3 linked regions of the Saccharomyces cerevisiae S288C genome follow. The main gene of each other region encodes a partner of the protein of the gene in region 3 in a complex. Each region holds a gene or a part of one and is shown on either strand. Other genes may lie near its edges. The genes, in order: IES1, IES4 and IES5.

The links.
Region 1: IES5 (region 3) and IES1 share a complex: the UniProt entries of both Saccharomyces cerevisiae proteins name them as parts of the chromatin-remodeling INO80 complex.
Region 2: IES5 (region 3) and IES4 share a complex: the UniProt entries of both Saccharomyces cerevisiae proteins name them as parts of the chromatin-remodeling INO80 complex.

The regions. Positions count from the first base shown.
Region 1 is NC_001138.5:107,327-111,664, forward strand, and holds IES1 (Ies1p), read right to left. Parts: upstream 2,605-4,338; coding exon 526-2,604; downstream 1-525. Other genes in the region: lipid-binding protein HSP12, read left to right, coding at 1-259; YFL012W (uncharacterized protein), read left to right, coding at 3,321-3,767. UniProt on the Saccharomyces cerevisiae protein: Probably involved in transcription regulation via its interaction with the INO80 complex, a chromatin-remodeling complex.
Region 2 is NC_001147.6:687,634-690,498, reverse strand, and holds IES4 (Ies4p), read right to left. Parts: upstream 876-2,865; coding exon 525-875; downstream 1-524. Other genes in the region: MSB1 (Msb1p), read right to left, coding at 1,319-2,865.
Region 3 is NC_001137.3:340,772-343,760, reverse strand, and holds IES5 (Ies5p), read right to left. Parts: upstream 907-2,989; coding exon 529-906; downstream 1-528. Other genes in the region: TORC2 complex subunit TSC11, read left to right, coding at 1-441; MET6 (5-methyltetrahydropteroyltriglutamate-homocysteine S-methyltransferase), read left to right, coding at 1,594-2,989.

The sequences.
Region 1 (4,338 bases), on a different chromosome or scaffold from region 3:
ATACGCTGAACAAGGTAAGGAATACATCACTGACAAGGCCGACAAGGTCGCTGGTAAGGTTCAACCAGAAGACAACAAGGGTGTCTTCCAAGGTGTCCACGACTCTGCCGAAAAAGGCAAGGATAACGCTGAAGGTCAAGGTGAATCTTTGGCAGACCAAGCTAGAGATTACATGGGAGCCGCCAAGTCCAAGTTGAACGATGCCGTCGAATATGTTTCCGGTCGTGTCCACGGTGAAGAAGACCCAACCAAGAAGTAAATCTTTCGGAACTCTTTGTAGTTACATGGTTTTTTCTTTATGATGTGTGATGTTCCTTAATATTATATTCAATGAATAGCAGAGTAATAAAAAAATTCTAAAAAAAAAACGCTTAAATCGAGGTGGAATATATAAACTTAAGTACGCATATACTCTAGTTCAGTTTAAAAATTAGCTGTTTTTTTAAAAAAAAAAATTCTCTTTCTTTACAAAATGTTCTTAAATGTATGTATGTGTGTGTGTGTGTGTGTGCGTATTGTTCTATTTCACTCCAGCTTAAACATGGCGGTTGCTTCTTCGTCATCAATTTCCGCGCGTTCGATTTTATTTAAAAGTACTTTCTTTGAAGCGCCGAGATTTTTCATGAAATCCGTCTCAAATCCAAGCAAATTATCTTTGAATTTCTTTCTCTTTTTACCGCGAATCCCAAGCACTGACGCTACGGGGATGTCTTCAAATTCATTGAATATCTTGATTAACCCAATATCGCGTCTTTTCAACCTGTTTGGCACCTGGGATTTTTTCAAATCGGCGAGAAACTCCTCTTGTGTCTTACCATTTTCTGACACATGCTTGTTCAGATCTAGCGATATTAGCTTGTCGACCTTGTTTACCGTAGCCGAACTATTGTATTTTTTCAATGGTGTTAGATTTAAATCGTTTTTGTCAATGATAGCAGCGGAGGTGATTTCTTCTTCTGTTTCTGTTGGTGCTGCTGGCGTTACTTTGGGCAGTTGTGGTGTGACTTTTTTCCTGTTCAATGTCATGGGTGAAGAAGATTCCAGTATGGGCGTAGGCGTCAAAAGTGATCTAGTCTCCTCTACAGTCTCCTCGCTCTTGTCATCTTCCCCTTCACCGTCCTCTTCACTCTTGTCACCACCGATACTGGGCTTTTTCACCTCTGTAACATTGGTACGCTCGCGCTTCCTACCCTCCTCCATCTTACTCATGAATTCTCTTCTCTTGATGCGTTGGTTGGCTCCGAACTCTAATTCATCTTCAGGATCCGTGTCGTAACTGCGTTCCGTACACCTTAAAATGAACTTTCCAGCAGGTGCACCATCTTCCAATCCATTGAAAAATCTTACTGATTCTTCGACCTCCTCCTGGCTTAAGTTTGTCTCCAAATGAATATATAGCAGCCAAATCAATATGTTTGATCTATCCTTTGGCTCGTATTTCGAATAGTCCAGTATATCAAATAATGTTGTTGCATAAGCTGCTTTTGATTCTTGTTTTTCATTTTCCGCTTCCGTTTCTTTTACTTCATTCTGTTCATCTACCATATCTTGCTCCTGAGCTTTCGATTCGACTTCCACATACTTGGAAAGAAACCTCTTGTCAATTAGGCCGGAATTATCACATATGCTAAACAACATATTAATAATGTTAAATTTGTTAACGGTGTCCACTTCACCATCATTTTGGTCGACCTTTTTGTAAGTCTCCATCAATGAGAGTTGCTCATTGCCCCACGGCAGATTTTTCAGAATAGATTTCAGTCTAGGTGTATCCTGCAAAAGTTTCGGATCATTGGCATGTAATTGTAAAACTGGCACGGAGTGAAAAGTTCTCAATTGCGATGTCATTTCTAAATAAAAATTTATAGTGGTGTTCAACCTACCAATGTTGACCAATAACGCTAAAACACAAGTAGAAAATGCTACTTGTTGGTCTAATAATAGTTTATCTCTGAGAATTTTGGAACATTTGATAGAAGTGGCTATTGTCAACACATACAATTGTGCGAACGTCAATTTATCGTTAAATACAAATGTCCTTGCATCGTACTCTTTGTCGGTCACGTTGATTGATAATTTATCGCCATCGATATTAATGGGTACAATAGAGTTCTTGTATAGGGGTTTTAGAACATTAGTGAAGATTTGCCTCTTGTCCATCAACAGTTCTTGCATGAAACTGAACTGAATGTCCTTTCTATTGAATGGCTCGCCGTCAGGTTTCTTCAAATGACGATTGTATTTACTGGCATTGCTTTCTTTGGGTTTCCTTCTAACAGTGTTAGTTGTCACTGGCCCCGTTGCCGTACTTGCTCCTGTTGCTTCAGGCACTGTAGAAGGTTCGAAGTTGAGCAAGATGTTGGTATTTTCTTCTTCACTTTGCGTGGAGTCATCATCATTTTTATCGTCGATTTCAATCTCGTGTATAACTGGAATGCTTTTTGTAGTCACAGTCTCGGTCTCTGATTGAATGGAGCTTGGGGATGCTTCTTCTTGTGATCCCGATTTTACAGATTGCATTGGAGAATCTGCTTTTGTTTCGTCAGAATTGTCTTCTCGTAGTTGGAAAGTATCATGAATTGGATCGTATACTCTCTTCCCCATCTTTAATTAGAGTGTCGCCTTTATTTAGCTTTCGATTTTACTTAGTTAATCATGAACTGTTTCCAATACCATATCAGCATTCATTGGGCGTTCTTTACTTACTTGTACCGTTACCGCATTCGAGGGTAACCTGTTTTTCGTTGTACACGATATGCTACAGAATTGTCTTAATATGGGCTAAGAAAAAAAAAAGTCTGATTATTTCTGATACTGCAAAATATATACTGGCTTGGTTAAGAAAAGTGTTGCTTTAGTTCCTTTACATCAAGAGTCGTTAAATTGTTTTGTGTCATAACAGTAGTGGTCTTTTGAGACATCAATCGACTCTCAGGTTTTCCTTCTGTTCATCTTCTTGTTTTCGGTAAAGGTCAGCCAGCATATTTCAATTCTCTCTTTTTTGAAATAACATTATGTAATCTTTCAATCCTTTCTATCCAACGTCTGCTAAATAATTTATTCAAATGACATGTAGACCAGAAAATCGAACGTTGGATAATTTTTCATCCTGAATCATGTTGGTCTCAACTAGAGCAATTTTTTCACGTCCTCTGACACAAAACTCGATAAACTGTCGCATCAGTTTAAAAAAATATGTACGTGTATAATAACTGAATTTAAAAGGATAGTAAATAATTTTTGCATTTTATGGAATGTCAAAATACTAATAAGTCGCAAATATAGCTATCAAATACCATAATTTAGCTACTTATAGAAAGATGCCCAAATCCCGACCAAAAAGGACCATTGCGTCTTCCTCGTCAGTTTTTTATGGAAGTTCACCTTTCCAAAATGATGGCTACATCAAAGTAATGGAACTCGTATCACACATTGTCATTGAAATAAATCATTCACCTACCGCAACAACGGATGAAACGAGAAAGCAGAATAATCCGGAGCTGAAAGTGAAAGAACCAGTTTGTAACCTCAAGAAGTGGGAAAATAACACTAACTTTATATTGGAAGATCATACGAAGAATAAAACAAAACTTTCTAGCACAGATAGGATACGTAAGTGGTTTAGAAGACATATATTAAAGGAAGAGATCGAAATCCTTTCCCATGGAAAACAATTGAGTAGTATTGATGAGGATTATTGCCCTTCAAATGTTCTTGTAGGATGTTCAAGAGATCTAAATAAACTCAGATCATTTCAAAATTTTTAGGAATATAAAATTTCTCAGTAAGAAAAAGAAGATGAATGCGTTTATAGTATTTTAAGTTGTTCAATAGAATATCTTCAATATGTTCATATGTGGACTAAAAGAAGATTTTGGTATATGTCTATAAATTTATTGTTGGTAAACGCCATTAAGCAGCTTTCCAAGAATATGTTATCATTGAGGAGAAGTACGAAAACTGATTATGCACGATTAGGAAAAATTCTGCAAGGAGTATTAAAAAATGGCCTTCGAGAAGAAATGAAATCTCTTTCGATGAGCAATGGTCTTATGGATAATTTGATAGACATATGAAAAAGTCAAAAGTTTTTTTGGCCATATGCAGTAAAAACTTACCCTTCAAATTGCAAAACCATTAGTTTTATTATATTTTTTTTTTTTTCTTTCATTGAAGTATACACGAAATCCCATACGCAAATAAACAGTCGTTGTATCATCAATTTCGGCTGTCTGGATGGCGACTACGAGAGGAAGCTTGCTTGCCATGATAGGACCAATCTCAATTTTTAATTTTTCATTAACTAGCTAATTTTCTATAATGCTCTAAGTTTCCTTT
Region 2 (2,865 bases), on a different chromosome or scaffold from region 3:
ATTACTGACAAATTTCTAATGAACCAGACGCGCCGCTTCTTTTAGTGTCGTTTGGTAACCGCTTTTTCTTAAGCTGGCAGAGACCGCCAAAAATAAGAGAGTCGCTTGTAGTGGGACAAATAATGAACAGAGAGGCTTTTTGATACCAGTATCGTTGAGTTGGGAATGAAATGAAATATAACGATGCAATCGTCGCCATTCCTGTCAGAATATAATCGACGGTCATGTTATATAATTGTTTTATAAACGCCCACTTCTTGGCTGTATCTTTTATAATGTCCTTTTTTCCTGAAGAGGGTTTCCATCTAATTTTCTTTTACAGTCTGTAGCCTTACTTCTGGCCCTTTAACTAAATACATTTGATTTATATTGCATATTTACTCATACAATTGTATATTTGTTGTTCTTTTTTGGTCGGCTACCAGATTTAGTACTTAATGTAACCAATTTGTGAATTTCATAAATGACGTGCCAAACTAGAAAGTGTGGGGCCCTGAGAACAACTTTAAGCTGTTGACATTACCTTATGAGTCCAGTCCATCCTCTCCTTCTTTTTCAAGTTGTTTTACTTCAGGATCCTCATCTGCTGGTTCTTTTTTCCTTGTAGCTTTGTCATCTGATCCTTTAACGTCAGATGCAGTAAACTCGCTTCCCCTTTGACGTTCTTCTCTTACGTCTCTTCTTATCCAGCCGGTGAAATTTACCTTATAACCACTGAAGCTCTTGATCTCTATGGCTTTATTCTTGTAATCCCACGGAAGTACAGGTTTGCTATTATCTCTCGAATTGGCAGAGGGAGGGCTTGTATCCTCTATTTTAGGGTTATTGGCTAGTTGTTCTTGCGATTCTGATAAAACACTACTTTCTTGGGACATACCACAATTACTCGAGAAATTGGATTTATCTTCCGGCCAATATAAGTAAAGAATGTGTTGGCATTATAGTACATTTTGTTGATATCTTTAAAATTACTTGGATTATGAGAATGATTACCCGTCAACTGCTTGGTAAAGTTTTAACGTTCAAGAAAAGCTCTAGACGGCGTAACGCACCTTTTGTTATGAGCGTTAGAAAAATTAGTGACTAAGAGGATGAGATGATAAAATGCATATGATGTTGAATATGGAAAATAAAATGTTATATTCTTACTCAACGTAACCTGCCATTTGTAGGAGTTAAAAATTATGTAGTAGACTTAAATCTCTCCTTATTGTCCTAAATACTTGTAATTACATACACATATATATGTATAAATATTCGGGAAATTTTACAACTGTTGAGATTTCATAAAGATGATAATTTCAGATACAAAGTGTTTCTATATGCCGAAATTTCCGCTTCTAATGTTATCATATAGCTTCTTTCTCTCCTGTCTTTTGTTAATATTTCCATGCAGTTTGTTTCCCTGAGGAGCTTCTGGTAGGTAAAATTCACTATTTACAGCCCCCATAGGCTGAGCGGGTACGGAATAGGCATTCTGCTGCATGCCTTGGGGAAAACTACGCCTGTTAGCACCAGCTGTGTAACGTATCGGCTCCTGAGCTGGTACCATATGGGACATCATTGGAGGTGCTCGCATAGGTGGAGGTCCATTGTAGTATTCCGCAGGTACGACAGGTTGAGCTTGCGGTGAATACCTATTAACGTGCTGCTGTGGATATTGATTGGGGCGAACTCCCTTTGGTACCATTTGCGGCGGATTATTGCTCCACTTTCCATCTAACATATGAGCATTGCCTGCCCGGCTGTTCCCATAAGCATTTGTTGTGTTATTATGATACGGCGGCTGAGTTACCTTGTAAGTATTTACAGGGTGCTGGTGGTTAGGGTTCATTCGTTCCATTTGTTGATATAATGGAACGTTAGATGGAAGATTGGGCACACCTTGTTTTACTGGCACCATATGTTGGGGAATAGGTGAAGCATCTGCCCGTTGATTTCTGGACTTTAGTTCTGGGGGCACAATATTGTTTTGGAAGGGACGTTGTTTTTGTTGGTGAGATGGATAATTATGCTGGTCCCGATATGTCATATGTGGTTGATTTGCTAAAACGTGAGCAGGATCATTATACCCAACGGGTACATTAATCGTGTTCTGCTTGAATCCAGCCGAATTGGTGGAGAATTGTGGAGACCTCGCAGGTGAATATGCAGAAGGTGGAACTGGTGCACTTGCAGGCGACATTTCATTTCTACGATCGTTCTGATAGTATTTTTGCTGAACAGGAGATACACAGTCTCCAGGCGCATTTTTATATGGTTTTGGTGTTACCTGTTGAGATGGACTGACTGCACCTTGTAAGACGTTCAGGCGAGACTCATTCGTAAATGCCTTTTTCGAATCCGAATTTGAATAAGTGGGTTGACTAGGCATTCTTGATGCCGGCAAGTTGTTGATATTTGGAGAATAATATGATGATGAATCGTCGTTGACTTTGGATTCCTCAGAAATCTTTCTAGGTTCCGCTAATTTCCTATCAGCGGTGTATTTGGAACTATCAGCGCAAGAATCATTTGTATTTGTACTTAGCTTCAATGAGTGAACGGCGCTTGAATGGCTGCTTTGTAAGTCATCGTCAGTTATATTGGATGGCTTATATTGATCAAACTTTGTCAATGATTCGAAAGTCTCTGCCTCAGTTATGGAGATTTTTACATCGTCTGGCTCATTAATCATCATTTCTTCAACCATACCGTTTAATTCTTCAATAGCTGAGTCGGTAGCTCTTTTCTGGGAATTTTTAAGTTTGTCACTGTCGTCATCATCGTGTTCGTACATTAATTCCGGTATTTCAATCTTAAAGTTTGATGAACCGGTCTCTATTACTGGTAACTGATATTCATCAGGATTAAGTGTGCTAAACT
Region 3 (2,989 bases):
GATACCGCAGAGAATCCATTAAATGAAAAAATCATTACTAATAAATACGACAACGATATCACAAGTCAAACTATCACTGTTTCAGGTGAAAATAGTAGTCTTTTCGCAAACGAAGGCCTTTCTTCTCCCTATGTTACACAATACCGCAATGACGATGACTCCATCGAGAGCAAGGTACTACATATAGTAAGTCAGCTAGGCAATCATATCCTTTCAAATCACGCAGTGAAGGAGATTACAGAAATAAACAATAAATACGGTCCAAGGCTTTTTGAAAACGAGAAAATGTTCTTCAAAGTATTTAATATGATGTCGAAGTATCGGTTTAAGCCACATGTTAGGAAGTTTCTTTGCGGACTATTTATTAACAATAGAGCGCTTGAAAATGTCATCAGGCACGACAACAAAAGGGACAAAAGGCCGGCTAATTTTACACGTTAGAGCAAAAAAGGGCCGCATGTATAAATGTATATAGTCACAATATTCCATAGACCCAGGCACTTCCCTACACCACAGCATACAAAACCGTTATGGTGTGTGCGTATCATTATATAATAATGGGGTTTCCTTGTACAGAGTATAAGCATCCATTAGCTCCTCGGGAACCTCAATATCTTCATCGTCCTCCAACTTTTCTGTAATCAGTGATATCTGATCATTGTACCACTTCAATTCGGGTACTTTCTCTACTGTTGCTTGAGATATTAAGCGTGGGAGTTCCGTTTCAGCAGAACCAGTATCTGCATCATCAATACTGTTCAGTACCGTTATCACGCTCGATACTTTTCTCAATAATGTAGTGTATTCCCTTTTTAGAGTCCCATCCTGTTTGATAAGCTCATCATTTCTTGCTGATATCTTCCGTATTTCTTTGTCTATAACGCTCTCTGGATCTTTACTAGGCATTTTTTTCTTGTTTTATAATCAGTCAAGTATTGGTTTCCCACAGCCATTCAACTCAGGTTCATCATCTTTTTCGCTTCCAAAAATGCAGTTGATTTCACACAATTTTTCATGAACCAGGGTCCCGCACTCCGGGTAAAGGACCATCACGCCACATCACGTGCACATTACTAGTAAAAGCCACAGGAAATATTTCACGTGACTTACAAACAGAGTCGTACGTCAGGACCGGAGTCAGGTGAAAAAATGTGGGCCGGTAAAGGGAAAAAACCAGAAACGGGACTACTATCGAACTCGTTTAGTCGCGAACGTGCAAAAGGCCAATATTTTTCGCTAGAGTCATCGCAGTCATGGCAGCTCTTTCGCTCTATCTCCCGGTCGCAAAACTGTGGTAGTCATAGCTCGTTCTGCTCAATTGAGAACTGTGAATGTGAATATGGAACAAATGCGATAGATGCACTAATTTAAGGGAAGCTAGCTAGTTTTCCCAACTGCGAAAGAAAAAAAGGAAAGAAAAAAAAATTCTATATAAGTGATAGATATTTCCATCTTTACTAGCATTAGTTTCTCTTTTACGTATTCAATATTTTTGTTAAACTCTTCCTTTATCATAAAAAAGCAAGCATCTAAGAGCATTGACAACACTCTAAGAAACAAAATACCAATATAATTTCAAAGTACATATCAAAAATGGTTCAATCTGCTGTCTTAGGGTTCCCAAGAATCGGTCCAAACAGAGAATTAAAGAAGGCCACTGAAGGTTACTGGAACGGTAAAATCACTGTCGATGAATTATTCAAGGTCGGTAAGGATTTGAGAACTCAAAACTGGAAGTTGCAAAAGGAGGCTGGTGTTGATATCATCCCATCCAATGACTTCTCCTTTTACGACCAAGTTTTGGATTTGTCTTTGTTGTTCAATGTCATTCCAGACCGTTACACTAAGTACGATCTATCTCCAATCGACACTTTGTTTGCTATGGGTAGAGGTTTACAAAGAAAGGCCACTGAAACTGAAAAGGCTGTCGACGTCACTGCTTTGGAAATGGTTAAATGGTTCGACTCTAACTACCATTACGTTAGACCAACTTTCTCCAAGACCACTCAATTTAAGTTGAACGGCCAAAAGCCAGTTGACGAATTTTTGGAAGCCAAGGAGTTAGGTATTCATACTAGACCTGTCTTGTTGGGTCCAGTTTCTTACTTATTCTTGGGTAAGGCTGACAAGGATTCTCTAGATTTGGAACCATTGTCCCTATTGGAACAATTGTTGCCTCTATACACTGAAATCCTATCTAAATTGGCTTCTGCTGGTGCCACTGAAGTTCAAATTGACGAACCTGTCTTAGTTTTGGACTTGCCTGCCAACGCCCAAGCCGCCATTAAGAAGGCTTACACTTACTTCGGTGAACAAAGCAATCTACCAAAGATTACTTTGGCTACTTACTTCGGTACCGTTGTCCCTAACTTAGACGCCATCAAGGGCTTGCCAGTTGCTGCCTTACACGTTGACTTTGTTAGAGCTCCAGAACAATTTGATGAAGTCGTTGCCGCCATTGGTAACAAACAAACCTTGTCCGTTGGTATTGTTGATGGTAGAAACATTTGGAAGAATGATTTCAAGAAGTCTTCCGCTATCGTTAACAAGGCTATTGAAAAGTTGGGTGCTGACAGAGTCGTTGTTGCCACTTCTTCTTCTCTATTGCACACACCAGTTGATTTGAACAACGAAACCAAGTTGGACGCTGAAATCAAGGGCTTTTTCTCTTTCGCCACTCAAAAATTGGATGAAGTTGTTGTGATCACCAAGAACGTTTCCGGTCAAGACGTTGCTGCTGCCCTAGAAGCTAACGCTAAATCTGTTGAATCCAGAGGTAAATCCAAGTTTATCCACGATGCTGCCGTTAAGGCCAGAGTTGCCTCTATCGACGAAAAAATGTCTACTAGAGCAGCTCCATTTGAACAAAGATTGCCTGAACAACAAAAAGTCTTCAACTTGCCATTGTTCCCAACAACAACTATTGGTTCCTTCCCTCAAACCAAGGACATCAGAATTAACAGAAACAAATTCAACAAGGGCACCATCT